Oryzias latipes: one gene and its partners. The protein of the gene in region 2 binds, or shares a complex with, the protein of the main gene of each other region. Links are inferred from orthologs where the notes say so. Each region holds a gene or a part of one and is shown on either strand. Other genes may lie near its edges. The genes, in order: fbxl17, keap1 and nfe2l2.

Region 1 (10,341 bases), on a different chromosome or scaffold from region 2:
ACTTTGGTTTTATGCACAGGTGATTGATTTTGTTGTACCTTCTGTTTGTACGGCTAAGTTCTCTTTCTTTTTTCCTTTTTCTTTTCATGTGAGTATATATGGGTGTTTTTTTCCCGTTTTTTTTCCCGTTTTTTTGTTATTTTTCTGGTTTGTGTAATATATTTGTAAAATAAAATAAACATATTAAACACTAAAAAAATTGAAACCTAAAACTATTACCAAATGAAAATAATTGTATTTGTAACAGCTGCTCTTTTGTATTTTCAACTTCTATTTTTTTTCTTTGTTTGTTTCCCTTTTGCTTTCAGTGAACAAAGTGTGTAGTGTGGGCTTTTACAGCCTTAAAACCTTTTTGATTATTGTAAAAAAATGAAATGTCTTCTTAGAAGATTTAACTTATTGTGGGTTGTTTTTAGAATGTTACCGCAATAAATGAGGGACCACTGTCCACTACTCTTTCTTTTGACCAATGTGAATTACACACCATCACTTTATGCTCAGGTAGAGAGAACACATGAAAAAACAAGTGACCAGAAACTTGAGTCACGTAAAACGGTTCCAACAGAACAAAAAAAGTACAAAACTATGAAAGAAAAGGAGGATAACTGACCATTTTGTTCTCCTGCAAGTAGAGCCTCTGCAGTTTTGGACATCCTTTGACCAACGCCACCATGCCCTCATCTGTGATCCCGTAGCACTGTCCTAAATGGATATCCCTCAATTCACTGCAGTGTGTTCCCAGCTAGAAGCAAGAAATGGGGATTTAATGACTAAAGGAAGCAAAGACAAGTAAATGAAACCATCAATTGTGTCTGTCTGATATTAAAAACGTTAACCAGATATTCTTTGCATTTGTTACGGCCCTGGGCCGTATCAGTATGTTCCTGTTGCCAGTCGTAACACATTCTTAGAGAAGCTTGAAAAAAATACCTTCTTCAGTGATGCATCTGTCAGTTTATCCTGGTTTCCAACATGCACCTTGACCAAGAGAGGGCAGTGTGAGGCCAAAGCGGACAGGGAGATGTCTCCCAGCTGCTTGCACCTGTAGGCTGTGTACTTTTGCAGGCCTGGACAGCGTGAGGCCAAGGAGGACACACCATGATCGTGCACCCCCCTGCAATCCGAGATGTTGATCTCCGTCACATTCTGCCTTCGAGAAGCAATTTTCACAAGGAGATCGTCGTTAACCTGAAACAAATGACATAAAAATCAGATCTTGCATAGTTTTTACAGGCATACTCATATCATATGGAATTACTGAATTTTTTTAAATACACAGAAACTAAAAAAACAACAGCAGGAAGTAATATTTTTACAAAATTCAAAGACCAGCTTCAGAGCGTGACATCTCTTACTTGTTGTAGGCCACTGAGGTCGATTTGCTTCCAGAACTGAAAGTCCAAGCAGAGGTCCCTCCAGTATTTGCAAACCAGAGAGGCACAAAGACAGCGTTCCTTCACTGTCAGGTGGGACAACACCTGTGGTGGGAGGAAGAGGAGGAGGCATTTCTGATTAACAACTAATGCTCGTTTGACAAAACAGTTTATAACAGGGAAAATCCTTGTTAATTTCATTGCGCATTTATCATAAAACACAAAAAATATCATTGTATTGACATAGTTAGTTGACATAGTTGAAGTCCCACTCTGATCATCTTTTGATCTATTTTTAAAGTATTCCCACTTTATTGACGCTATCCAGCCGTAGAGTTTAGAGCCAGATTAGGAAAACAATGACAGATATGGATCTATTTGTCTGCAAGTGGATGCATCAGAATGGAGCGGAGGAGGGAGCTTGTGGACCGCCAGTTGTATTTGATGTCACAAAGAAGTTCTCTTTCAAACTGCATTTTTTCGTCTTCTCCTGATTCACAACTATTTGAGTAAAGAAATACTCAACAATGCAATTTGAGCTACATTTTCTTTACATATGCCTTCCATTATCAGATAAAGGCCACAAGAACATGCTAAAAAAAACACGTTTTAATCGGACTGGGTCTTTAAGTAAATGGGAACAAAAAATGATGAACTAAAGCCCTTCTGACCTTGAGAAGGATGGAGGAAGGCAGGTGGTTGATACTTAAGTGATCAACAGCATCAGAACTTCTCGCCTGAGAGTCGTCATAGTGATTCAGGCAGCAGGGGGAGGAGTCTGAGCTGTGGGGCGAGTCCATTTGAAGGCCCAGCCCGCAGCAGCCATCAGCAGGCAAGGAGGCGGATGCAGAGGAAGAGGAGGACGAGGAGGGAACTGGGCATAGTGGAAGGTGGCAGTGGCCAGTTTCAGAGTTGGAGCCAGCCTCTTCTCCTCCCGTTCCGTCGTGCTCCAGCCCTCCGTCAGGAGCGGCAAAGGCACAGCGCGGCTGCTTGCAAGGGGTGCACCTGTGCACCTCGGAGCACTTCCTCTTACACACCTGCAGGCAGAAACACACAATCATGTAAAGGTGTGCTTTTCAACCAAAACACACCAGGCTCACATTCAGCTGATTATCTTATTTATTCACTGATGAAAATGTCTTCCACTTCTGACCATCTAAAGTTATATCTAACCAGCCTTCTTTCAAGCCCAAACACAAACCTCTCTTTTAAATAAATGATCAAAATATGAATATTTACTCCTCCAAGAGTAACCAGCTGAAGGCACCATGAAGCAAAACAATTTGACCCATCACCACAGATTCCTGCTGCACCTTTTCAATGTGAGGTTAGTGCCTACCATCTCAGTGTAGTCGACGGTGCAGTTGGGTATAGGCACAGGAACGGGCACAGTCACAGACACACCAGCCGTTCGGAAAAGAGCCGGCGCTGGAATCAGTTTGGCAGGAACGGCGGATAAAATGCCCCTCCCCTGGCCCTCCCAGATCCCCAGCTCCCTTGGGGACAACAGGTACTTGGAGCACTCCTCAGGTGAGGCGATTGTTGCGTATCGCTCGGCGAGTTTTGAGGCAGCTGCTGGTCCGAGGCCGACGCCCCCAATGTGCGCGACACTGATTCCGGTGATTGTGTTGTGGCAACACCCGTTCACGCCGGCCTCCAGATGGTCACCGTCGTCGTCCAGACCACTGCTATTGCTGTGGACGAGGAAACAGAGCATGCACGGGCCCTGCAGGAAACAGTTCCTCTTCTTCTTCTTCTTGTGCTGCAACTTGCGGGTCCTCTTCTTCAGGCGTAAACCATTTTTCGAGAAAAGATGGCCCATATAGAAGATTCAAGGTAACTCTTGGAGAAAGAAAAAGAAACAGAAGGGAATCTTACATTTGAATAACATTTATGAGAGAAAAAAAAAAGAGTTAATTAAGTACTAAAAGTGTTTAATCATTCCTCTTGAATCTTTAGACAAAAACTTTTCAGGGTTACTTCAAAAATATTGACATTGGCAATAAAAAAAGCAAAGTTAAGTTAACATTTATGTCAGCAGAGGATTTCATGTTTAACTTGAGAAAGAGGTTGACAGTAACCTGGAAATAAATGACAAGCCAACTGATTGACCCAGAAGAACTCTGCATTCAGGCTAAAATATAGGCTTGGTTAATTGGTCCAGTCATGTGACAGAACTGAGTAGTAAATCATTCCATTCACAATTACAGGTTGTGTATAACTATCACAGAAAAATGGAATTAAACATTATACAACTTTTTAGAGCTTATTAGAGGCCACGTAGAAAGTTTGGTTTTACTGGGAATCTTCCACGAATGAATGTGGAAAACATCAAATAAAAGAAACTCTGGAAATAAGATCTTTTCCAAATGAAATTCCTTTTATAAACAATTTTTTTTATTTTAACATAAAATGAATGTTTTTTTTAATCAGTTTTTAAAAATTGGACTGTGGTTGTACAAAGCCTGAAGAACACCAATTAAAAAGGCTGTGAAACAAACAGCACTCCCTTACCTCTGAAACATTGCTTCTCTCCATCTATTCACCACAGCCCATAATAACATGACTGCTTTGGCCAATTTTATAAGAGTATATTTTATTGCTGCTTTGATGTTTGTTTTCAACTATGTCACTATTTTATTTAAAGCGACCTTGAGTTTCAAGAAAGACAATTTATTATTATTATTATTATTATTATTATTATTATTATTATTATTATTATTACTGTGTATTAAAGCTAAATATTGCATACAATGTTTGATTACACACAAGATTAAGGTTTCCATAAATAAACGGCTTTTTTCCTGTAAACTGCTAAGTTCTTCCAATGAACAAAAATGAAAAGGGAAATCCTTAATTGACTTATCAATCAGGTTTTTCTCAACTTTTGACATTGACTGCAACTTTTGTGAGTCAAAGTTAATGTGATAGAAATTGGCCATCGGTTTTAATGCCTAAACTGCTCGTCCTCCTTGTCGAATCTGTAAACAACGAGAGCTCCATCCATGCATCTGCTGCTCTCGACTGCTGCAAACACAAAGATGTAGACACTGAACAGGTGGTCGGGTTTTACCACACACAAACAAAGCAGCCAAACGCTTATCCCACACTTTGCAAAATGATAAATATCCGCTCACAGTTTCAAACTCCTTTGGAGACAACAGCTAGGAGCCCTCTGAGAGGCTAACCTGCTCCTCCATCATCAGACAGATGCTAAGCTAGCTGTTCTCCTCCAACATGGAGCAGCTCTCACCACTTGACACGCTGCTCCCTCCGTCCGGACGCTCTTCACATAATACTGCGCGGGTTGACGGTAGCGGTGAGCGCTGACACGGAGAAAGGCGGCCGCAAACACACAACCGCCGAAGCGTCTGTTCAGACTCCAGCAGCTTGGCTCTGCTGCACTTGAGCACAACACTTCCGCAGCGAAGGGGGGCAGAGCTACAGAAGCCGGCGAGGACAATTTCGACAGCAAACTTGCTTAATAACAGGTAGAAGAATCCCAGACGACTGATGATCAGATGATTAAGAGGGTGACATTTTTCCATCACCTGTAGATTTGTATTTATTACTCGTTTAATCCTGGGAGTAATTTTATTGTTTCAAGAAAAATATCACGCAGAGAGTATGCAAATTGGACTTTGAATACACAAAGTAAATATAAAATGTGAGAGACCGGGATTTAATCGGATACAATAAAAATTTCATAGGATGCAAAAAATCATCCTGAAGATACCAAAAAGGAACCAACCAAATAAAGATGTATTTTTGTTGTATTACTCCTGTCCAGCTGCTTCTGTGTTGGACAGTTAACAATCTGGTTCATGCATGTTGTTTACATGGAAGGTGCACGTCAATATAAACCTCTTTTATATTCGAAGAAATGTCTTTTGTTTTAGGCTCTAGACCTTAAGAAAAAGAATTTGATGCTAAACGATGGTGAAGAATATGTATAGAGAGAAATCGTTGGAGAAATAAAAGAACAGAAAAACATTTACCTGGAGAAAGAAATGAGAGAAGTAAATAGAAAAATGACACACAACCAAAGATGAGCAAGGATTAACAAATGTCAGTTATACAAAATTGTGCTTTTGTTATCCACACACAACATACATATCCACTCTAAATTGTGCCAGATGAAAAAAGCATTTTTACACAAAAAAATATGAAGAAAAAAGACAAACAAAATGGTGATACAGAAAGAGAAACATAAAAACACCTTCTTCAAACTCAACAAACTATAACAAGTGGGAAAAAAAACATTTCATATTTAAAAATAGAAACAAAACCTTCATGCAAAAATCTATAACTAAAGTATACATAAAACACGCATTGCCCTCAACCCCCCACCAACTCCCATTGTGAAACATTAAATAGCTTAAATAAGAACAGGAATAGAAATGTGGTTTAATGAAGGCATTACAGGGCTGCACGGTGGTGCAGTGGTTAGCGCTCTTGCCTCACAGCAAGAAGGCCCCCAGTTTTAGTCCTGGCTGTGGGACCTGAAACACAACACCAATGGGGACCTTTCTGTGCTTCATAGGTTAACTGGTTACTCTAAATTGTCCATAGGTGTCATTGTTTGTGTGTATGGGTGTGTGATCTGTGACCCTGCGACAGACTGCCAACCTGTCCAGGATGTCCCCTGCCTTTGCCCAAAAGTGGCCAGAAACGAATAACATCTGTTGATTTCCTGATCTCTGTTGTTTTTCTAAAATGAAATTGTTGTATTTTGTGTGTCATACACTTTTTGCTCTACTTGTAAAAAACACGTTTTTTTATGATGTATTACTTTACAAGTGTTATACTGTGAAAGCATTCTGTTAAAGTCCTGCAAGACATCATTTGTACCCCAGTTTCCCCAGGATTTGTGTGTTCAGAGAAACTAAACAACACATATTTTCAAACACATTTCTGCAATTTAAAACAAAAATACAAAGCTTGTATAATTGTATGTAGGAAAATGAAAAAAAATCAATCATTTGGGTATCTATTTTGAATCTTAGTTTAATTAAATAATAGCTTTACTGTAGACTTCTTTTAACCTAATAATAATGAATATTTATAGTTCATCATACAGTCTGAGAAAACCTTTCTTTGTTACATTTGGTTAAATGTATGCCAACTAAACTAATGTAAAAAAGCAAAAACAAATAAAATAAATAAATGATAAACAGTTACCATATGCATTTTAATATTGGTGAACAAAAATAAATTTCTGTTAACAAGTTGAACAAGAGATAAGATCATTTTATTTAAAAGGTTTACAACACAAAGGAGATTTTAAACAGTGTTAACAGAATGATAATCAATCGCTTCTGTGCACTAAAAGCGCATATTTTTCAGTGCGTCTGTGTGCGCGTGCACGCAGAGTTATGGGCGGAAACGTGCAGTCTGGCTGCAGCTTTTCCAGCCTGAACGGCAACTCACAGAATAACACGCAGTGTCGGGAAGCAAGAAGGAAAAAAATGGCTGCAACTGTTCCACCAGTAACCCGACAAATAACCAAAGACAGCCACAGGAAAAAAACTGAAAACCCGCCTGTAGATCTGCAAGAGGCGCAAGACTGCTTGATCTACGACCGACACGGAGTCTCCATTCCGTTCAAGTCCTTATATCAAGACAGGAAAGTTATCATCGTTTTTGTTCGGGTAGGAAAAAACTGTTGCTGTTCTTTCTTATTTTGTGAAAAACTCTTTCAGGCAGGCTGGACATGAATTAGATTAGAAAACCTAACGATGCTCAGAACTTCTTATCCAGGACTGGAGAAAAAAAAAACCTTATTGAAACCTTGGAGTCCTGCTTTTTTAATGTCATGTATTCCTGCAGAACTTCTTATGCTACAGCTGCAAGGAGTATGTAGAAGATTTAAGTAAAATACCCCAAAAAGCCCTGGAGGTGAGTCCCAGAGCTGCCATTTTTAAACCACTTTACGATCCTTAAATAAATATATTCAAAGGTATTACTACATTGTTGATGTCTTTCTAGGATGCTGCAGTCAAATTGGTTGTGATTGGTCAGTCCTCCCATCACCACATAGAGGTAAAGTTGTATTATCATGCAAACATTTTATGAAGTGTTTATTTAAACAACGCATTAATCCACATTATATTGTCGGAATAAAACAAAAAAAAATGTTTTTTGAAACAAACTTATTGTCAGAAACGTGTCAGTAACATTGACTGTATAAGAGACCTGGATTGAGTGGTCCCTCCCCCCTGGCGTTCCAAACAGGAAGTTCGCACTGGCTCCAAGAAGCCAAACTCCCAGACTTCTATTAATAAATGAACAGCTGTTACTATGTCATATTTGTCAGAATAACCATTCTTGCTCTGCTACTTTTTAAAAAAATATATTCTTGCATCTGATTTGTTAAAAAAAAATCAAAGAATACTTTTATAACACAGATACCTGAACCAAGTTTTCAATCATCTTTCAGGGCAAAAATATTATTCATTTTTTGTTTTTACAAATCAGCAACTTTATTTGATTGAATATTAATTCTCTGTCAAATGTTTGCGGCTGGTTTAAACTTGGACTGTCTCAATAAATCTGTATTTGGAGGAAAGCTCCTGGTTTTGTCTGTTAACAGCAGCTTTATTTTTCTTTGAAGCCGAAGACCGTTATTCTGGTTCCTCACTGACACTTTTCTCCTCGAAGAAACTTTCCAAATACGTTTAATTGTTTGGTTTCTATCAGCCTTTTAGCTTTGGGACTACTAACTTAGCTGTCCAATAAGCTGCTTAAAATCACATGACGCGTCAAGACAGACGGATGTGGTGAACAGAATCCGGTGCTTTTCCAAAATAAAACTTCCGTCAGTATCAGAAAATAAACAGCCACAAAGAATCAAAGTTGGCGTATGTATTTATTTTTCTCCCTGCAGCCTGGTACCAAGTGACCCACGGACTGACACCACTGAAATTACATTTCACCGTTGGCATGAGTGTGTTGTTTTGCCCCCTAAACTCATGGAGATGATTCGTTGGGGACCCTGGGGGTTGGGGACCACTGTCTTAGATCACACAAGCAGACTAACTGAACATACCTGGTAACATTTGTTTTGCTCTTTCACTTTCTAAATTTTTACATTCAAATTCTCCTCCCTACCACATCCTCACTGGGCATGTTCAAACACCTTTCAGGTTTGTGTGATCAGATGGCACCGGGAGCCAAAAGAAAAAACACTCAGTTAATCAAATCAATAAGAAGCAGATGAGTCACAAAAAGCCTTACCAGTTCATCCTGTTTACAGTAGCTGGTATGACCTGAAGCAGTTTCTTCTCTGCTCTCTGACGATTCTACCCTTGCTCTAGGCAAAATTGATTGTTGTCATTGTAATGCAAAGTTATTCTTTCAATCATATCAATACTAACAGAAAACAAGGATACGATGAAACATGCAGTTTATCACCTTTTTTATCTTATCTGAATAAGCAGAAAGCACTAAGTTTGATGCTTAGATGAGACACAAGAGGAGCTGAACAATGTAAACCACAACAGTTAAGGTGACAAAACTTTATCATTTCCCTTGAACCATGTGCATACTGTTGTTTTCTTTCTTGCCAATTTAATATTGAAATAAGCATCAACCATGTGACATGTTGGTAAAATCCATGTTTGTTTGTTTGTTTGTTTGTTTTGTCCTTCATCTAGCCGTTCTGTTTGCTGACTGGGTATTCTTATGAAATGTATGTAGATCCAGAAAGGTGCATTTATCAAAAGCTTGGTATGAAGAGAGAAGAGACGTTCACAGAGTCTGGTAATGTGTGTGCATGTGTGTAACAGTGGATTTTTTTTTTTCTTATAGCCTAATAAACTAAATCTTTTAAACATTTGTTTATTTGACTATTCAGCAAACCCCAGCCCTCATGTGAAGTCCGGTTTGTTAATGGGACAGCTGAAGAGCATATGGAGGGCAATGACCAGCCCTGCTTTTGACTTTCAGGGTGACATGTATCAGCAAGGGGGGGCTCTCATTGTAGGACCGGGTGAGTCATCTCAATTCTTTAAGGCTCCAGGTCTAATATTTCTCTCTAATCATATTTTATTTTTCCTTTCAGGTTCCCAAGTTCACTTTTGTCACTTTGATATGAACCGTTTGGATCACATTCCCATCAATTGGCTCCTTCAGCTTGCTGAAGTTGGAGAAACTGTGGACTTTAGCAATAGGCCAAAAATCCTCCATGTTTAGCTCGTTGTAACTGGGAAGATTACCTTGGGCTGTTATTTACATGTTTGAACAAAACCTCGAAGTTGTTATATCCTCAAACTGACACTGATCCAAAGAGCTCTGGTGATACGAGGAATGTGGGTGGAAAGCAATTAAAGTTTGGACTCCTTGGTCCTATTTATCATTCTATTCATTCTTGAGATGTTTTGAAATTTGCCCAAGGTCATTGTCCAACTTTGAAGTAAGTAGGCTATAAAAAAAGATTTAGCACATTATTATTATTATAGTTACTAATATTATTTAAAAGTCTGTTGTATTCATGGTATCGTATTAATAATATGTTGTGAAAATAAAAAAATCATAACCATATTCCTCTCTACAATATTGCATTTTTTAGCCATTTCGATGAAACCTCTTTTAAAGAACTTTTAACTGCTGGATTTTAATTGATCTGAGGCCTGAATTCCAGCTAGAATCTTGATGCTTTTGTTAGTTATTTAATCTGATGTAGATGTGTTGTCCTGCTTTTTGGCAGAGATTAAGCTGTAAAACCTTGAAGAAATTCACACATTCATCACTATGAAAAAGGAAGAGTTTGTGGTTGACAATCAAAAGAGTTTTGATAGTTGTTTAAATAATGCAGCTCTGTGCCCTTTCACCCATTGCATTCATTAGCCTTGCTAACATTCAGGAACACCTGGCTTTTATCATCAGCGTAAAAGCTTCAACTGACATGCAGTCCTGTGTCAAATGACTCTTCAGGTATTTCTCAACTTCAGTTTGCACCGGTGGGAAT
Region 2 (9,563 bases):
TTATTTATATTCTGTAGGATGAAGGGTGGACCTTTTAAAGAAGGCTGTGGACACCCCGCTCCTACAATACTTAGGAGCGCCTCTGGTCGGTGACAGGAGTTTCTGCTTTCAAGGATTGAATGAAGTAGAATAACAAGTCAGGTAACAACGTGAAACATCTTTGGAGTCCATTGTTTAAAGCTTTAAAATCATTTTTTTTTATCAAAGCCAAAGTCACTAAAAAACGATTATTTTAAGAAAGAGAGATACAGGTCACTTTTTAGCCTCCAAACAACACGGATGGACAGACTTAAAAAAAAGCCTTTTCTACGTAACACGCGTCCTGTAACGAATCGTTTTAATGAGGCATCAATGAATCAGGTTCGTCTACAGGGAAACAGCGGCGGGGGTCAGGTGAGTTCCGCGCTTACCTGCGTCTGGGCAGACACCGCGGGTGTCAGTCAGTCAGTCAGATAGTCATTCAGTCAGATAGTCAGTCAGTCACTCAGGCAGGGCAGCTTCGTCTCCTCAGAGGAAATCACCGGAGTGAAGGAAAAAAAAGTGAGTCCAAACATGCGGATGTGAATTTCAGATCACTCCCACTTTAAATCGAAGGAACTCTTTCTCAGCAGTCTATGATGAAGCCATTCAGATCCACGATTGAACAGTTTTTATTATTATTTTTATTAAAACACTGATGCTCATACTTAAAAAAAGGATATTAAAATGTTACTCAAATGAAGTCATTATCAATTAAATGTTTGTAATGAATTCTATTTTTAATTGAAATACCAAAGGCAGTAATCCGTAAAAGATTAAGATTTTATTGGAGGATGAAGTTTTCAAAGAAAACTTTCATGTTTTTGCTTCATTTTTCTTTTTCAGGAAGTTGCCAGAACAGGTCCTTTAATTTCTGTACCAGGGGTGTCAAACATACGGCCCACGGGCTGTATGCCCGCCAGACGGTTCAATCTGGCCCAGTCATGAAGAGTAAAAATTAAAAGGATAAAAAAAACACGTTTCTAGTCCATTCCTGGGGCGAGTTGTGATTTTCTTTTCAAAGAAATAACCGAAATGTGCAAATCCGCCACTAGGGGGAGCTAAGGAAAGGCAAAACAGGTTAAACAGCATATCTTTGCATGTGCCAAATGCGAAACCTAACAGCTCTGTCTGAGTAAGATGTACAGAAGTTTGGTTCCGCGTGAGCCTCACTGCTGTTACATTGCTATAAGAATGATCAATAGTGACACCCTAATGACCAAGATGTTGTCAAAAACAAACAAAAAAGGTTGAAGTGGAGGGCTGAGCTTTTCAGGAGAAATGGAAAGATTTTTATTTGTTCACAGAGTTGAATGCAAGACCTGCATGCTTGGTATCTTATCAAAAGGTGCTCAAACACTACAACAGTCAGCACCACTATGAGACTCACCATAAAGAAAAGTTTCACCATTTGCAGGGGGAGTTAAGAAAAGAAAATATTTATCAACTGTTGCTTGGATTGAGAAAATAACCGTCTGCATTTACTGCAGCCGTGACACCAAGCTACAGAATTCCAAAAAAGTTGGAGCAAACATCCAAACCATTTTCAGGTGGTGAACTTATTGAAAAATGCTGAAGGCTGCAGAAGTCACAACACTAAATTGATGAAATTCTAGCGCCATCTGTCGGTCACTACAGGTTGTGACATGTATACGTACACACACACACACACACAGACACATAAATATATACATACACACACACACACATATCCCTTGTGCTATCTTAGATGACCCCACCCTTACATTGATGTGTTCTCCCTACCATGACAAAGGTGGATAAAGATGGACAGATTTCATGTAATCCATGGACACCAGTGAAGATCACAAATCATTGAAGAAAAAAGGTTCAGCGCACTGTCCAGTGGGTCTAGATGACCCAACTACCAATGGTAAAGTGCCTAGGATAGCACAAGGGTTAAGGGTGGGGTCATCTAAGATAGCACAAGGGTTAATTGCCGTGTATCTTCTGCCCGAAGGCAGCAGTTTGAACAGAGAACGTTCAGGGTGTGATGGATCCTGCAGAATGTTCCGAGCCTTTTTTAGGCAGCGGGAATTGTACAGTTCTTCCAGGGACAGGAAGAGGGCAGCTGATGATCCTGTGGCCTCTCATGGTGACTCTCTGGAGAGCTTTCCTAGCCGCAGCTGTGCTACTGGCAAACCAGGCACAGACACAGTATGTTAAAATATTCTCTATTGAGCAACGGTAGGACACTTGCAGTGGCTGAATGTCTGTTTTGTTCCTCCTGTAGTCCACCACCAGTTCCTCTGTCTTTGTTGTGTTGAGAATCAGATTGTTTTTTCCACACCAGACACAAAGCCGCTCCACCTCGTCCCAGTAAGCAGACTCATTTCCAGAGATAAGCCCCACCACTGTGGTGTCATCAACAAACGTAACCCTTGGGCCATCCTAGGCACTTTAACGTTGGGATTTGGGTCATCTAGACCCACTAGACAGTGCACTGAACCTGTTTTCTTCAATGATTTGTGATCATGGATTACATGAAATCTTTCCACCTTTATCATGGTAGGAAGAACATGTCAATGCAAGGGTGGGGTCATCTAAGATGGCACAAGGGTTAATGATGGTATTGCATCAAATATACACATTTTGAAATAAATACAATTACAGTCATTTGTAGGAAAAAAAACATTGAGAAAGACTTTTTTTCCATTTTAATTCCAACTAAAGACAGAAAAAAACTCAGAGTGAAGTTTTTTTTTTTTTAATCAAACATCAGAAATTAGCATCAACAGGATTTCCACTTAGTCACAATGCAAACTAGTTATTAGAAAAGGCTACACAAGGAGTGTGTAGTTACAAAGCAGATGTCAGTTTAAAGCCACTGGAAAATCACCGCGTCTCAACAAATAAATTAAAGAATGAACTCTGGAATTCTGTACAAGACTTTTCAGATTATGAATGAATGTACAACATCTGTCTTTAAAAACATGTTTGTAGCTTTAATTGCTGTTACAAATACACTCATTTCAGCAAGGTTTTGTCATTAGTATACAATATTTGAACACTAACGCACAACCATGCTCACTTCTACATTTTCTAAGGTCTCTAAGACGTTGAAACCAAAATGACTCCAGGTTGTGTCATTTTGTTCACACAAACACAATCGGTGGGATGCTGATGGCAGTTTGCTTCAACTGCAACCTAAACTTTTTGTTTTTTTTGGGATCTGCACACCACTAAACTGTTCCTTTCTAAAATTCTTCTGCAGTTTTACTCAACATGTTTGCTGCTAAGGTGATGCTAACCTATTCTGTCTTTGACACTCAATATAAGACAATGGGCTCCGTTCAAAATGTAAATGTTGACTATTTTTTTCTTCTTCCTGGGGACATAAACCATTTCTTCTGAACAAAAAAGAAAAACCGGCTTACTGTGGAAAACCTCTAAATGGTCACTTCACAGAGATTTCCTTATTTGTCTTCTCTTCATAAAGGATGTTGGTACTGGTGACCTCAAAGTTCTAACATTGTTATTAATTGTGACCATTTCGCTTATTTCCAGAGGTTTTTGCATTAATTGAGCAGAACAGAAAGGAAAAAAATGGTTGTTTGAACTTGATGTTCAACATGGAGACCCTAAAAGTTGTCACGTCTTCTACTACCTAATCATACAAAGATTCATGAAAATTTAGGGACTTGAAGGAAAATCTACTTTTTCTGATAGAAATATTTACAAAAATGGTCTTGTGTGGAGCTTTGTCTTCAACAACTGGATGAACTGGACCAAACCTGGGGAGTGTCTCGACACTATACTGATAGGGGAATGGCCCGCAGGCTCTACAATGGCACTTTAGACTCGTCTACCTATGAAAAGGACCATGTTCTGTTCCCATAAGGAGGTGGTTCTCTCTTCCATCTCGTGAAAACGACTCTTTGAGCCTACAGGAACCTCAGTTTGCAGTTTTTCCACAGCAGAGAGAACAGATGCGCAGAGCTCCATCATCTTCAACCATAGACTAATGAATCACAATTGGAAAAATGGACTTGTGCGGATCATACTTGGTTTACAGAATTCAGTGCAGATGGCTTTAGTTAAAACCAGAATCATCGCTGCACTGATAATACTAATGACTTTTTCTATGTGCGTTTCATTTTCCTCTCTACAATCAGTCAGGATTTGTGTCCTCATCCGTCTGTGTTTTCATTCTATTTTTAGGGTTCTCGTGATCGGAACCGCGGCTCAGAATGAGGCGTCTTTTCCGAAGGGTCCATTCGAGAACTGACAGTGTGGCCTATCGCAGCCAGCAGATGGATCCGCCGACGGGTCATTTTCACACTTCTGGCTTTTCGAGAGACCCTTTGGGCAGGGCTCCATGGTAACGGCCACGCCCACGCCACTCCGCCCTGATGTCATGTGAGTGACCTCCATCCAGGTGTCCTCTTTTGGGTCATAGCACTCCACGCTGTCCAGGAAAGTGCTGCCGTCATAACCTCCTGCAAGGGCAATGTTCAAAATGTATGGTTTACAATAAAATCCATTCGAATTTTTGTTTTTGTCCGTGAGAATATAAACGGTTCAAAAATTGCTCTTCCCATCATAAGTTTTCAAAGTTAAACATCTTTTTGTTAAATGTGTGACAGCTTGGGGAAAATTGACTCACCTAAGACGAAGATGCGTCCACATAACGCAGTGACCCCCAAAGCACTGCGCCTGTGCCTCATGGAGGCGACAAAGCTCCAGGCGTCCGTCTCCACGTCGTAGCGCTCCACCGTGTTCAGCTGGTTGGTTCCGTCATACCCTCCCAACACGTAGATGTGGGTGTCCAGAGCGCACACGCCTGAAACGGGACAAAGGTCACTCAACTTTTCTGCTGACTTTGTGGATGGAAAGTTTGAACGCAGCACATGTTCTTTTACACCCAAACAGTGAAATACCAACTCGTTTCTCAGAGAAATGTCTCTGTTATGACTGCTTTTTTAGATAAACGAGTACAGTTTATTCTTGAAGATATCTTAAGTTAGTCTTTATGTCAATGACGGGCCGTTTCACATTAATCTCAATGGTTCAGGTGTGCGACTTTCTTAGCATTTTTATCTGATAGATTAAATAAGCAGCATAAATATAGCTAAATATAAAAACAAAGTACATGTTTTTGACAAAAAACAAACCCCAACGTCTGAAAGGCTCTTTTTCCTACAAAAATTGAAGAAGTATTGAAGTATTAGTCTTTGTCACATGTGTAAAAGTACAAACTAAACTGTTCAGCTCCAGTCCTTTCCCTGCAGCTGTGTGTTGGTAAAACACAGCCGACCCCGGCGATCAGCAGCAGCAGCAGGTTTGGACTGCCCAGCACTGAACAGTAGCGGCATAATCTGCACATATTCAGATGCAATGTAATCAGTCCATCAGAAGCACATGCACGAGCTTCTAAAAGTAAAGGAGGGTCAAGCCTGCTACGGTTATAAGAAACCTTAACACTAGCATGAAGGACGACACCTATTTGAATTAATGTTTGCAGACGTCTTCCTAGAAGGGACAGAACATCTTAAAAAAAAAAGAAAAGGTGAAAGAAGAAAGGAACTGTAAAACCACACACTGCTTCAGCAGGACCCTTCTTTTACAAGCAGCCTGTTTGTGAATGAAATGAGTAACATCGCTGATTCTGTGGATGTTCTAACATTTTCCTCTGATTTTGTGGTTTCTTCCTTACCGGCTCCGGACCGCACAGTGTTCATGGAGGCCATGGTTCTCCACTCATCCCTGTCAGGGTTGTAGCACTCACAGGAGCTCAGCCGGTTTGCTCCATCGAACCCCCCCACGGCGTAAAGGAGCCTGTTCATGACGGTGACGCCCACGCCGATCCGTCGCGTTAACATGGGGGCCACCAGCTGCCACTGGTCCCTCTCTGGGTCGTACCTGTGGAGATCAGATAATTATCATGAAAGACCCACTAAGGTGAAAATTTTTAGTGTTTCTAATATGTATTTTTCTCATGATGGAGGACATATATAAAATAGCATTTCTGAGTTTTTCTTTTTTCAAATTATTGTGAATCAGGAGCAGATGAAAAACGCTACAGTCGGTGGATAACAAGCCTCATGCTCCGCTTCATTCTGGTGCTTCCACTTGCAGACAAATAGATCAACGTACGTCTTCATTTTCCCCGTCTGAGCTGGCATCTGACTCAAAACTGTACAGCTGGGTAGCTCCGATATTGCTAGTAATTTTTGTTGCAATGATAGATTGGGGGTGTAATAGGCCTGCACAATAAATCAAACATTTGTCGTCACGATATCAAGCTGTGCAATTCGCATATTGCAAAAGTCAGCGAAAATTGCAGTAAATGGTTAACTTTAATTTGCTGGAACAATCTTATTTAACGAATCAAATAAATCTCTTTATGCATTTGACCAATCAGATGGACTCCTTTCCATCATTGACCAATCAGATGGAGCCCTGTTATTTTAGATGTTCGCCTCCTATGTAGACTAGGGTCATTTAGAGTACAATTTAAGTTATGTTGACTCTTATTTAAATGAAACTGTTGCAGTGAAATGGAAATTCTGTTTTTGGTTGTTTTGCTATTTGTTCATGCATCGCAATTCTGATCACTAATAATGCTCAGAGTTTTCCTCACATCGTGCAGCTTTTGGCTGTAAGCTAGCGGGAATGTGTATAAACAGAGGAGAGGTTGCTACACGCCGACAGCCTCAGAGGGGAATTTTTAGATGAACTACTGCCGCTCTGCAGATACTATGTCATAGAAAACTATAGTTTATTTGATTGAAAACATCATAATCATAAGTAATAGACCACAGGGAACGGTTTGAAAATAGAACAAAAGATGATTGGAGTGCATCTTAAAGGATTTTTCTTAAAAATATGACACTTGATTTGAAGAATTACTCCACATTAATGCTGGATTAAATTATATGAACCATTTTAAAAGGGGAAGTTTGCTAATGTGATAAGCTAGGAAGAGAGGGTGTAATGATCAAACTGCCACATCCCAGTCAGCAGGTTCATATAGATGACTATGCTGATAAACAAACACAATCACAGCTACTTCTACACATTTTCTTTAAAATACAAGGACTCACTTTAAGGGCGAGTTATAATTCTTGTGTAATATTCTCACATCCCTGTTAAATCTTTCACTTTAAAAAATAAGTTGTCAAACAAGCAAACATTAACAGAACATTTTTAGCATTTTTTCTCTTCGTTTTTCTTCAAGCTGGCAGACTGGCGAGTCCTTGAATCAAAGGAAGTTTGTTCTGCTTTTTGCTGTTGATAGAATGCAGCACCTGGTTAAATGAATGACTGTAACCAAGTAGCAGACGTTTCTTTTCTCAACATCTAGTTTGCACTTCTGTTGCTGTAGAACTAAGCTTCCCTGACGTCATCACCTGACCATGTAGACAGGTTTGGTTTGTTCCTCTTTCAGCGTAACTTTGGCTAGCTTAGTTAATAATTGCAGTTTTAGAACTAAGGTCACGCTTTAATGTTATTTCTTTTAGTTAAAAAAAGAAAGAAAAAAAAAGGAGATCATTTATTTAACTGAATGTAAAACAAGCCAGTTGAACCAGTTAAAGATTGTTCCCCAAATCTAAACCACAGTAAATATTTATGAAACCAAAAGGAATTTAGAATATAGAAGTTGACCTTCAATTTTCTGGCATAAATTTGTAGATTTTTACAAGAGTCAACCTGTTGATAAGACAAGAATATGCAACATTTTTAAGAAGTTACCAGACACTTTGTTTGTGGCAAATCCAGCTTCATACAGTCAACTAAATAAACCACATGTCTGTAGTACAAACACAGCTGTCTGGACGTCAACAGACCGCAGAGCAACCAACATACAGAGGTTCAAATCCTCTCACATCAACAGGCTTAAAAGCTGTGGAGCAGAACGTCCTGATCACGAGTGAGTTTGATGAACCGTCTCCTTAGACTTACCGCTCCACACTGTTGTGATGAATGCAGCCGTGGGAACCGCCGACCGCATAAATCATGCCGTCGATGACGCCCACCCCGATCCGGTTCCTGGGGACGCTCATGGGCGCGCACGGACACCAGCAATTGTTCATGGGGTTGTAGCAGTCCAAAGCGTTGGAATCCATGTTGCCGTCGGGCGCGTTGTTTCTACCGCCGACGGCGTAGAAAAGGCCGCTGATCACACATGCGGCCAAACCACTGCGGGGCACCTGGAGGTCACTTAGCCTCAGCCATGCTCCTGTACAGGGGTTGTACGCCTCCAGATAGCTGAGGGACTGACGGAAATACCCCCCTGCCGTGTAGATGAGCTGAGGCACCTTGGGTGTTCGGCAGGGGTTTACTTTGGTGGGTTTGTGGAGGGTGAGCTCCTGGAAAATCTGAGCCAAGTAGTCTTTGCATTGTGGGTCCCAGTCTAAGGACTGGAGCTGGGTCTGCAGGAAGTTGGGGGTCAGGGAATGGCAGCGCACAGCCTGGAGTAAGGCTTGGACGTAGGGTCTACGGTTTTCGTGATCGTAGCGCACCCAGGCCACGCACGCCTGGAAGACTTCAGACTCGCACCGCACGTTGAGCTCGTCGCGGCTGATGAGGGTGACCAGCTGGCACTGAGACAAGTTGAAAAACTCCTCCTGGGTCGCTACCTGGAAGAAAAAAAAAATACAGCTCAATTACCTTCTTTCCACAAATGAAAATCATAAAAACAAGTTTTTTTAAACAAGTAGATGACCTGAGCAAAACGGTTTTAAAACATATTCTGTAAAAACTACTAAAAAAACAAAACAAAAAAAAAAACAGTTATTTTCATCTTAATAGGCATTTACATGAAAAAATATTTCAGTGTTTACCTGGAAACAGATTACAGTTGACTTCCTGAACAAACTGACTCAGCAGGTTCTATCATGTACCCATTTTCACTTTTAAAAACTTTTGCAAAAACAATACTCTGACTGAACAGAAGTAACCATAGACTTTTACAGCTATTTCCTGACATTGAGAAAGAATAAAAGAACCTTTTACACTTTCAAACACGTTTTTTAATTAAAAAACAAAAACAAAATGATAAAAGCTCTCAATGACAAATATTTGTGCAACAAGACTTTCAACTCGACATGAATTTGCTTGCTCATCTTGTCAAAGATCAATTAACTCTGACGTACAGTCATATTTTGCCACCACGTATGCTCCAACCATGACAAAATAAAGCTCGCCATGGGTCATGGCCCACTGCAGCGGGAAAAGCACCCACCAAGAACCACAATGGAAGATGTGAAACAGGTTTCACTTCCAAAACCACTTCAAATTCCCCACTTTTTCTGATTGGTGGCAAGTCAGTGGAAAAATACAAGCAAGATTACATAAAAGTTATCTTTGCTCTGTGACACTGCCTTACTTGGCTGAAGTTCATGTAGATGTACTCCCTGGCTTTCTGGTGGAGCTCTGTGCAACCGATCTGCTCGGCAAAGTTGGCGATGCCGATGGCGTTGCTGGGGTCGAGCTGCTGGACGAGGAAGTCGCAGCAGGCCTTGACCACGCTGTCTATCTGGTACATGACGGCGCCGTTCATCACATGGATGACGCACTTCTCT
Region 3 (10,167 bases), on a different chromosome or scaffold from region 2:
CCACGAATGCATCATTTCATACGTTTCCCGGCATGCATTGCAGCAAAAGACAGGCAGCTTTTTCCCCAATCACTTTGGATTGAAAAATTATTTCTTAATGTTTTGGGCTTTTCGTTGACTATGTGTTTATTATTTCATAATAGAAAACATAGTAAACGATGGTGCAAGGGTTACTTTAACTGTAAACAATTGACAGTTCTGGAGTGCTGCAAGATGATGGAAAAAAATGTACTAATGAATAATTAACTATTTGTATTAAAAAAAATCTAAAAACGACTAGATTTGTTCATGTGACTAAAAAAACCAAATCACTTGAAAGAGTATGAAATGCTGTTTACCTTTCTGCCTCACTCACCTCCTCTTAATCACCTGACCAGCATGACTAGAGTTTCCATATGGCACAGCACTGCTCTACAATGACTCTTTTAAAATCATTTCATGGCATTGTAAATGGGCAACAGTAGTGTAGAACACAAAGAGACCGCAGGGGCAAATTAAAACAATAATAATAACAAAATTGTGACACATTTATAAAAGAAACTTTATTAAGACAGCATTTATAATATTCCGAACAAATGTCTGTATTGTCCTGAGAATTGAATTGTCCAGATGTCAAGATTTTTCTCCCACTGGTTATAAAATATTAACTCCCAAAACAAAGTTCTGTAATGCACTGACTGCAAGCAGTTAAGAGTCTGAGTGTATCACAGAACTTTATTTGGAAAGCCACAGTGCCACCTCACAGGTCTGTCCTTCTATGGGACCTCATGTACGTATTCCTTCATCCTGCAACCACCACAAAAAAAAGAACAGGACATACAGGAAGACAATTTTAACAATAAACTGATTTTTCTACTGTGAAAATACAACACAGAATTGCAGATTTTTCTTTTTAAAATGTGATGGAACAAGATGTTAAGTCCTAACGAAGAGAGTTTGGGATAACATCAAACACATACAGCAGGACAGGTGTCGTCTTTTTATTTTACACCATTGAACACATTTATAGGGAACATCGCAAATGTTATTTCCAGCTATTTGACTGGGTAGAAAAATCTCCCTAGAAATTGAATGGCATTATTTTACATGAAGTCTGGCCATCTGCTTGGTTGCAAAATGTACATAATTTCCCCCCCTTCAATTTAGAAGTCTAAAGTTTATAGTTTTTTGTGTTTTTTTGTATCTTTATAAGGATTATTAAGGGAGTTATCAGTTCAACCTGTTGATCTTCAACAACGTTCTCAACTGAACAGGCCCTTCAGAAGAAGCTTTTTTTGTGTGTGGAAACATTAAGCAAGAAAAATGCAAATTTAAAAAAAGCCAGCTGAATCCAGCAACTTGCAACAGTTTGAAGATCGTTGACATGGCACTGTATCAGCAATCTACTGAAGTAACAACGCAAAAGTATGTGAAGAAACAAAAAGTTAACTGGTTATTGTAGTACAATCCTGAAAAAAGGAAGCAATTTAAACGTAGACTAAAGGTGAGGCGATTCCTGCGAGTCATACTGTACCTGATGAAGGTAGCCGCAAGGGACCAGCTGCAATCCAACACGAGGGGCAAAGACTAGATCAAAACGCAAAAAAACACAACTATAAGCGAACAGAGGACGGTGCAAAGATTCAAAGTGCAAAAGTCTATTTTCAGTGAGGTTGGTGTCCGTCTGCGAAGTTGCAGCCCTGAAGTGTTAGGGTTTTACCTTTTCTTCCCCCAGTGCTGTGCAGTTCACTATATGCAGCTGGAAGAATGTCGACGTGGAGCTGCCAAACGTGAACGCGTGTTCATGAGCGCGCACAGGGGGAGAAAAAAACTGCCTTTTTTCTGTGTGTGTAATTTCACGCAGAGGCACAGTGAGCTAAAGTTTTTCACACACATGTGCTAGAGACAGGACCACGTATCTTTCACTGAAAGGACACTCTTCATGATTCACTTTAATGCGCAGAAGAGTCAAACTCGATCAAGTGTTAATGAGAAAGATTACAGTGAGATTATGTTTGCCAGCAGTCTTCTGTCAAGCCATTCCACGGTTACGAAAACAAATAACGTTTGATAGACAGGATTAAAAAAGGAGCAAAAACTGACAACAAAAAACTATATTAATAAAAACACAACGTGCAAATGTGAAATGCTTGTTATTTTCCTAAAGTTTGGTTGCTTATGTCTTTTAAACAGTAATGCAAAAATATCCAGTATATCTTAAAATTATTTTAGTTTGCATTTACTTTAAATCAAACAACTTATTTATTCAGTCAAAATAACTCAAACTTTGTGATAATACTGTAGCTTTATTAATATGCAAAGCAGAAAGCAGTATATTACCAAAAAAAATTATTCATAAAAAATATGAACAACATAATTTCTGTGAAAAAAGTATATTTATTATACACAAGGCATGCTAAAAAAAAAGGTTTTGTGTATCCACATGTGAAGGGAAGCTGTGGAAAAGAATCAGTTTACACTAAAAACAATGTCCAAATATAAAGGAGTTTAAGATGACATATGGAAATTTTGTTGATAGATATGTATAAAACATGAATCAACTGTGATAAATCTGTAGATATTCATGAATATAAATTTGAATTGTGTGGGGGTGCATATTAATGTGTTGAGGGGAAAAGATTTTAAAGGAACCAAATGAGTGTTTATTCATGAAAAATGTGTTGAATGCATCCATGTATGTATACTGATCTGTAGTAATGTGAGTGTTTATGGGTATCTGATCCTGGATGTGTTGCCATCAGAGATGGAAACAGATATACTGTAATAGATAATGGGTGCACTGGGTGTAGTAATAAATTTGGTCTAAAATTTTGAGGATTTTACTTCTTCTCACTCTCTTCAGGATATTTCTTGTATTTTTTTAACTAGTCCTATCTTTACTTAAGAATGAAATCAAATATTATCATTATCACTCTCGTTAGAGAGTCCTTGATTGTTCATCTCATTAGAAAATTCAAAATGAGCCCACACTGGGCTGCAAAACTGCTCCTTATTACTTCCAGTGAACTATCATTCAGCTTCATAAAAAGAAAAAAACAACAACAACACAGGTACTTAGTATTTTTGCCCACAATTTAGGTGCTGTGCTGACCCAAATTAAGTAATACACCATAGTCACTTATCATTAGTAGTTTAATAAATTAAATACTTTCAAAAGGACTTCATGCAATTTATGTACCGTAGTTATTATACCCTCCACTTTTGTTTTTTTCAGGCAAACGTTTTGCTCCATTTTACTAACAACTTAGGGTTCCATTTGACCATTTTTAGACACTTCTAAACAACTTTTAGCTAAAATCACATAATTTTTCCAAAACATCAAAAGTACTTTACTTTATACCTGTACATGCTGGTGTTTTGTCCTCTGAGCCCATTTTGGATGAATTTTAACCCGTGTTTATATATATGGATTGTAGATCTACCAGTATTGGAAATATCATAAGAATTGTGTTTGTCTTTATTTTTATTGGTACAATGCGCACAGAGTGCAAAAACAGACCATGTCTTTGTCACAAGAACTGGCTATCTCCATCACATTAGTACCAGGTTCATGCAGAGTTCACGCTGATTTGATAATAAATAAGACTAAAGTTCAATTTTCAATCTAAATGGCCTACATTAGGATATTTTTGGTTTAAGTCAATATTGACTTCAAACATATTGTGAATGTTTATAGTTTTGACAGTATTGGAGGGTCATAATAATCTTACATACTATCTAAATCAAAAGTTTGTTTTGACGTTTCTCTGTAAACTTTATTTTAAGAGGTAACACAATTTGTGAAGAAAAAATAGTGAAAATCCTGTTTGAGTTAACTCCCTATCGTGAATAAAAAGTATTTGGACAAAATATTTTACCTTTCTTGGTCATTCTATGACATTTTACATTGTAATACAGTCATGGGGATATGAGGGTTGAAGAACCTTTAGTCCAATGACATAACATAAAGTGACCAGAAGGGGCCGCTATACACTAAACAAAACTTGAAGCAGTTATATCTATATGACGCAAGTCGGTGACTTTTATGAGTTTATTGAATAGTTGATTTGAATAAAAGTTATCTTATTAAATCCCAGCGGTAGTTATTTCTTTCATAGATCATAACTTTTACATGATAACCACTGATATGTTGTGCAACAGTTATCTCTACCATTGTAAAACTGCTGCATCTGAGCCCAGTTGGCCCAACGCGCATGCTCACTGAGTGCTTCCCTTCATTCTCATAGGCCGTCGTGAGTGGGCCGACCCCAGCGGGCGGGCCACCAGCTCCCTAACGTTTACCAGCCTTGGCTGAGGCAATATTTCCCGAAAGTCCGGTGCCGCTGTGACGGGCCCCTTGTGGCGTTTGGTTGCTCATCATTTTATCTAAAAAAATTTGGATTATCACTACTATTTCTCCGTCTTTGGGCGTTTAAGCTGCGGGACAATGATGGAGATGGGAGATTCCAACCAGGTAAACATAAATATACATTTTATTTTTATTAGAGATCGGACAATTATAGTTTCACAGTAATCTTTAAAGAAATTTGGACTTCGCGCTGTGTTTCATATATATTCAGTTTCTATAACAGGCTTTTATTGCGAAAACAAAAATGTTGTGAGGATGTTTTGCGTCAACCTGTCTCTTAAGCTAGCTACTCACTCAGCTGATGGCTCTGGATATTTAAGATTATTTTCTGAAAGTTGTCAGTCTTTCACATTCATTGACTTACAAAACTCAGATCTTGTTATTGTAATGCATGATTCTATAACATGTAGCCTTTTTTTCTCTCAAAGTTGGGTGAAGTTTTGTATAAACAGATTGGAATCTTGCTTCCTTATGACTGGCCCTCCAACGCCATCCCATAACTAGAACTACTAGCATGTGATTCCGTGTCTAATGCAGTGAAGTCTTTTATAACCAATGTGAAACTGTTAGAGTAGCGATTTGCTTGTATCTTCCTTAAAACATAACATTAGCATCTGCTTTCGCTCTTCCCCTTTTTGGTGTCACATGATATAGAACCACAGCTTGAGGTCGCTCGTGTTTTTTTCATGTAAATATAAATTAAGCTAATAATATCAAGGAATTGAGGTTAGCTTAATTTTTTGTTGTTGCTGTGTTTGGTTTAACGTTCCCCCGAAATGACTAAGTTTAGCTATGTTTTAGGTTCTTCAAAAGTTGTGTCGTTACTGTCTGTCTGGTTTTCCATACAAATACAAATTAAGCTAATAATAATCAATATAGGAATTAAGTTAGTTTACGTAATATCCGCTGCTTTTGGTTCAACGCCCCCCTGAAAGACTCATTCAGCCATGTTTTAAGTTTTGTAAAAGCTGTGTGTCGTCATTGCCAGAACATAATGTTATAAGTTTGTGTAATATAAACACAAGTTCCCTTTTACTCGACTTTGTTTACATTAAAGTAGGCATACATTGCAGGAGTTATCAATGATTTCGGTTGGTCTTGGTACATTCCGTTTCTATTTTAGAAGTAGTACATGATGGTTGTGTTGGTTTAGCTGCTCACCGCCTGCGTATTATCTGGGAAATTTGAGAATGTTCCCGTGTTAAGCTTCCTTGTTCACGTGCCAGTCAGACTGTGGTGAATCAAGGTCACGGTGTCGGAAGAAAAAAACAAAACAAAACAAAGAAATGCACACACCAACTGTTTGTCTGCTTAATCTATACCATCTAAAGATTTTTAAGATGTTATTATATGTAGTCCTTCTGAATCTACAGTTGGTTTTTGGAAAAATGAATTGTGTTGAACGCTTGATTGTATTTTTACATTGTATTTATTGGATTTTTAAGAAAGCTGTCAAACTGGTTTCAGAATGTGCTTCTTTTCTAGTCGTTTTTTTTTTCCCTTTTCTTTAATTCAGGTGTGGTCACAACAGTGTTAGGGGGTCTGCAGCATTTTAGGGAACTTCCTCATTCCTATAGCCACCATAATTCCTGGTTTTGGGCTTCTACACTCTTTGCCATGATTTATGCTCACCAGCCTTAGTAATGAGTAATGCTTTAATGGTCCAGCTTCTGATGCAACACTCAAGCACAGACTTAGTGGGTTCTTATTTTGCTTTGCCGCTGTCTCAAAGTCTGTGTCAACAGTGACCAAAATATTTTCCCGTTTGTTAATGATTATTTATGCTGCATGTCTTTTCTTTTAGGTAAAAAAAAGAGAATTGTTGATATTGTTCAGTGCAGTTTCACAGCCTGTTAGTGGATTGTTTTAATGTCTGCTTTTTGTTCCTTTTTTCTAGTTTTTTTTGGTTGTTTCAGTCTGCGAAAACCACAAAACAGAATATTATAAAGCTCATATGCTACTTTCATAGGAATTTGGGGGAGAAAAAAAAAGTCATATGGTCTGGTGGTTTTTTTCTGTGGAAGAGTATCTTGGGTTTATGCAATATCCTGAGGCCTTATGAAATAGTTTTCTTCTGTAAATAAATTATGGTGAAAAAAAATCCCTAAGAGCGTAGCATAATTTGTCTTTAAGAGTGTTGTTTGAAAGTTAAGTAACATTTGAGTCTGTGAGAGCAATTTGAAAGGAAATGGTTAGAAAACATTTTCATGCTTATTTCTATGTAAACCCAGAATTCAAAATGGACTTTTGTTTTGCAAACTTGTCCAGAGATTACCGTAGCTGTCCACAGACATGGATGGAACAAAGTTTATATCATGTCTAACGTTCAACCCTTACACTCCTGCAATGTTTACCCTAAACTTTATGAAGTTATTTGTGTAACATTTTTTCTTTCCAGATCATGCTATACATGTACGATCACTCATTCTTATTCTTATCTTATAAAGGCTACCAAATAAAAGCACTTGAGGCTAGTTTACCAGAGTGAAATTTAATCTGATCATTGAGACCTTACCTGACTGTCCGGGAGATTAAACGAGACAAAAGAATTCACACTTTGGAGTAATGAGATGGGTATACGTGTCAAATTGGGATTCTGCTTGTGTGTGGCGGCAACAAGGGAAACAGAGAAGCATGTTTATTATTCATAGCCATTCTCCCTCGTGACATTAACTCCAGTGTTGCTGTGAGCGAACAGATACGGAGGGGACAGGGTGTGGCAGGTGCAAAAGCCATGTTTCACAGCAGGGACAATAATTCTCCTTTCAGCACTAAGCGTATTCTCTCTGCAGGAGTGCACAATGGCTTCCAACTCTTTTGTTTGCGGTTGTTTTTTCAGGACCTGGACTTGATTGACATACTTTGGAAGCAGGACATCGACCTCGGTGCCAGGCGAGAGGTTTTCGACTACAACCATCGGCAGAAGGAGCACGAGCTGCAGCGGCAGCGCCAGTTGGAGGAAGAAAAGAAGCTGCATTTGCTGCGGGAGCAAGAGAAGGCCCTGCTGGCGCAGCTGAAGCTAGATGAAGAGACTGGAGAGTACATACCTCACACAAAACCCATCCTCCCTCCGCAGCAGGCTGTCGTATCCATCGAAATTTCTCAGGTACAGGCACATTGTAATATTATTTGTGTCAGAGGTGGGCCACTCCCTCTTCATTCAATGGGCTCTGCTTGGATGATTGCAGGATGCTAACTTCACTGAGGAGACTGGAGATGGCATGTCATTTGACGAATGTTTGCAACTGCTGGCAGAGACATTTCCTGTAGGGGAAACTGAGGTAAGAGTTTCATCTCTAATTGCCACAAATTCACAGCCTATGGTATGACTTCTGGTTTACAAATGTATGTTTGCCGCGCAGAATCCTTCAGTTTGCATGGAGCTGCCTCCTGTCTCGGTGTACCCCAGTGGCACCATGATGCCCTCTGAACAGCCGGCCCTGTCCCCCGCTGTCCTCCCAAACCCGCTGACTCCTCCACAAAGAGTTACCCCCGATCTGGAGGAGGCCTGGATGGAGATTCTGTCCCTCCCAGAGCTTCAGGTATAATTCCCATTTTTGTTTGGAACAAATATTCAAATGAACAAAAGGAGGCTTGGGCTAAATTATTTGTGAGAGATGCAAATAAATAGAAAATGTCTCTGCTCATTTTCTTACAGAATATTTTTATTGCTTTGGCAGTTGAAAGCATTAAAAACATTACACGTTCACAGTTTGGTGCTGTGACCTTAAAGTTGCAGAACTGGTAGGCGTGTAGTTCGGGGAAGGTGCGGCACTAATGATGCTTATGCTAACTGGGTAAAAGGTGTAGACATTTTTTTTTTGTCTCTTTCCGGTAGCTACACCTCATATTTGCATTAGCCAAAGGGCGGAGTTTAGTCGTGTTACTTGCCTAGTCCTGTCCCTCTGTGCACTAGATTACAATGATAACCATGAGGCTTAACATGATTGGGCAAGCTGCTAAAACTAGCTCAGAAGCAAAAAATGGATGTTTGGAATTGTTGTACGAAAGGTTCAAAAAGCATGGAAACTATGTTCCCATGTTTTAGGATTATCCATTTACATCATTAGGTGTGAACTAGCTCCATATGTGCTATTGGTACAACACCACTCAAATGGAGCAGCTCTTGATTTCAAGCCTGGGCTTCTCTGATTTAGAACCAATTTCTGCCAATAGATGTTTAGATTTTAATGCTGTCTACCTACATAATTCTAAAACCATTTAAAATTAATGAGCCTTATGGAAACTGTGCCCTTATTATTTTTTTCTCCCCCTAAACTTTGTGTCTTTTTATCTTCCAACAGTGTTTCAAAATGCAAGTGGATGAAACAATGGAGGCCACAAATTTTCCGATTCAGACCAGTCCTCAAGTGCAGAATCCAAGTTACCCAAACAACCAGTTGTTCCCAAATACTCCTTACTACCCTATGCCCAGTGCCTCAGATTTAAAAACAAAAAATTTAAATGTTGGTCCCGGAGAATTCATGAATACTTGTGATGGCCCTGTTCCCAGTATGGCTCCATCTGACATCAGCCAGATAAATGTGGAAGACCCTCAGGTGAATCCAAACTTTACCCCAGACAGCTTTTGTTCCAGTGTCTTTTATCCTGACACCATCGTGGAAGAGAGCAGCAGTCAGCATGGCCACGAGGAAAGTGAAAATGTGTCCGAGATACCAAGCAAGCCCTCGTTTACGCCCATGGACCTGTACACCCTTTCACCTGAAGATGTGTTTGACAGAAGCAAACGGCTGCCAGCAGATTTCCCAGATTCAGATTCAGGAATTTCGACTCACTCCAGTCCTTATTCCAGCTCCCCCAGCAAATCTGCTTATGGAGGGGGCTCCTATAATTTTAGTGATTCCGAAATGGACGACCTGGACCACAACCCCGGCAGTGCTGAGTCTGACTACTCGGAGATGTTCAGCTTGAATTTCCAACCCGAGGATCTTGAACTAGCAAAACCAGAGTCGGAACAGACTGGGCAGTGCAAGCAGCTCGACAAGAAACCAAAGCAACATATGGAAGATCCGGCTGAAGAGAGTGGTCACAGCGGCACACCGTTCACCAAAGACAAACCAAAGAAACGCTCCGATGTGCGTCTCTCTCGAGATGAGCAGAGGGCGAAGGCCCTTAAAATCCCCTTCACAGTCAGCATGATCATCAACCTGCCCGTCGATGACTTTAACGAGATGATGTCAAAGCACGAGCTGAACGAGGCCCAGCTGGCCCTGGTCCGCGACATTCGTCGCCGTGGCAAGAACAAGGTAGCCGCTCAAAACTGCCGCAAACGCAAGATGGAGAACATAGTGGGTCTGGAGCATGAACTGGACTTGCTAAAGGAAGAAAAAGAGCGTCTGCTGGACGAGAAGAGTAAAAACGCCACAAACCTGAAGGAAATGAAGCGACAGCTTAACAGCTTGTACCTGGAGGTCTTTGGCAAGTTGAGGGATGAGAAGGGGAATTCATACTCCCCGTCGGAGTACTCCCTGCAGCAGTCCACAGACGGCAGCATCTTTCTCGTCCCTCGCATGAAAAAGACTTTTAAGATCTAGGAAAGCCACTTTTCGCCTTTGTAATAGTGTATTTCAGCACCATAGAAACTATGCAATAACTTTGTAGTAGCTCAGCTTTAAGGTGTGGCAGCCTGGTGGAAGCATTCATTCGTTTTTGCTAACGTCTCATGAATGTTGTAATATTTTTGATATTTTACTTATTTTATACTCCAATATTGTCACAGTCTCTATAAACAATATTTTGTAAATATTAAGCCTCACCTGCTATTGAGATTCCTAAGAATGTCCTGTGCGTGTATATAT

What was found.
Region 1: the proteins of keap1 (region 2) and fbxl17 are in contact, whole or in part, in a crystal structure (PDB 6W66), measured with the Homo sapiens proteins. The link is inferred for Oryzias latipes from reciprocal best matches to the Homo sapiens genes KEAP1 and FBXL17. Residues at the interface, in NP_036421.2 of Homo sapiens: His59, Thr60, Ala63, Ile66, Met67, Glu69, Leu70, Gln75, Leu76, Gln82, Lys84, Ala90, His96, Val98, Ala101, Ser102, Ser103, Ser104, Pro105, Val106, Lys108, Ala109, Met110, Thr112, Asn113, Gly114, Val122, Ser124, Glu126, Gln163; in NP_001156787.2 of Homo sapiens: Asp395, Arg397, Arg421, Lys423, Asn447, Gln473, Tyr475, Met524, Arg548, Asn572, Cys574, Leu575, Trp577, Glu596, Tyr598, Val600, Ser601, Asp623, Trp626, Lys628, Tyr647, Met651, Arg652, Val676, Leu677, Asp679, Cys680, Thr683, Leu684, Arg686.
Region 3: the proteins of keap1 (region 2) and nfe2l2 are in contact, whole or in part, in a crystal structure (PDB 3WN7), measured with the Mus musculus proteins. The link is inferred for Oryzias latipes from reciprocal best matches to the Homo sapiens genes KEAP1 and NFE2L2. Residues at the interface, in NP_001103775.1 of Mus musculus: Tyr334, Ser363, Gly364, Arg380, Asn382, Pro384, Asp385, Gly386, Asn387, Asn414, Arg415, Ser431, Gly433, Cys434, His436, Ile461, Phe478, Gly480, Arg483, Ser508, Gly509, Tyr525, Gln530, Ser555, Ala556, Tyr572, Phe577, Ser602, Gly603; in NP_035032.1 of Mus musculus: Leu19, Ile22, Leu23, Arg25, Gln26, Asp27, Ile28, Asp29, Leu30, Gly31, Val32, Val36, Phe37, Phe39.

What each region holds. Positions count from the first base shown.
Region 1 is NC_019867.2:7,785,566-7,795,906, reverse strand, and holds the start of fbxl17 (F-box/LRR-repeat protein 17), read right to left. Parts: upstream 4,824-10,341; 5' UTR 4,627-4,823; intron 4,620-4,626; exon of another isoform or gene 4,511-4,619; intron 3,216-4,510; 5' UTR 3,196-3,215; coding exon 2,713-3,195; intron 2,411-2,712; coding exon 2,045-2,410; intron 1,479-2,044; coding exon 1,356-1,478; intron 1,189-1,355; coding exon 931-1,188; intron 743-930; coding exon 611-742; intron 1-610. Other genes in the region: thioredoxin-like protein AAED1, read left to right, coding at 6,842-7,024, 7,203-7,271, 7,362-7,415, 9,029-9,134, 9,229-9,363, 9,436-9,566. UniProt on the Homo sapiens protein: Substrate-recognition component of the SCF(FBXL17) E3 ubiquitin ligase complex, a key component of a quality control pathway required to ensure functional dimerization of BTB domain-containing proteins (dimerization quality control, DQC).
Region 2 is NC_019859.2:10,405,841-10,415,403, reverse strand, and holds the end of keap1 (kelch-like ECH-associated protein 1), read right to left. Parts: coding exon 9,368-9,563; intron 8,619-9,367; coding exon 7,942-8,618; intron 5,899-7,941; coding exon 5,693-5,898; intron 4,820-5,692; coding exon 4,643-4,819; intron 4,476-4,642; coding exon 4,222-4,475; 3' UTR 2,728-4,221; downstream 1-2,727. UniProt on the Homo sapiens protein: Substrate-specific adapter of a BCR (BTB-CUL3-RBX1) E3 ubiquitin ligase complex that regulates the response to oxidative stress by targeting NFE2L2/NRF2 for ubiquitination.
Region 3 is NC_019879.2:22,679,368-22,689,534, reverse strand, and holds the start of nfe2l2 (nuclear factor erythroid 2-related factor 2), read left to right. Parts: upstream 1-4,257; 5' UTR 4,258-4,426; coding exon 4,427-4,453; intron 4,454-7,187; coding exon 7,188-7,454; intron 7,455-7,536; coding exon 7,537-7,629; intron 7,630-7,710; coding exon 7,711-7,890; intron 7,891-8,652; coding exon 8,653-9,903; 3' UTR 9,904-10,167.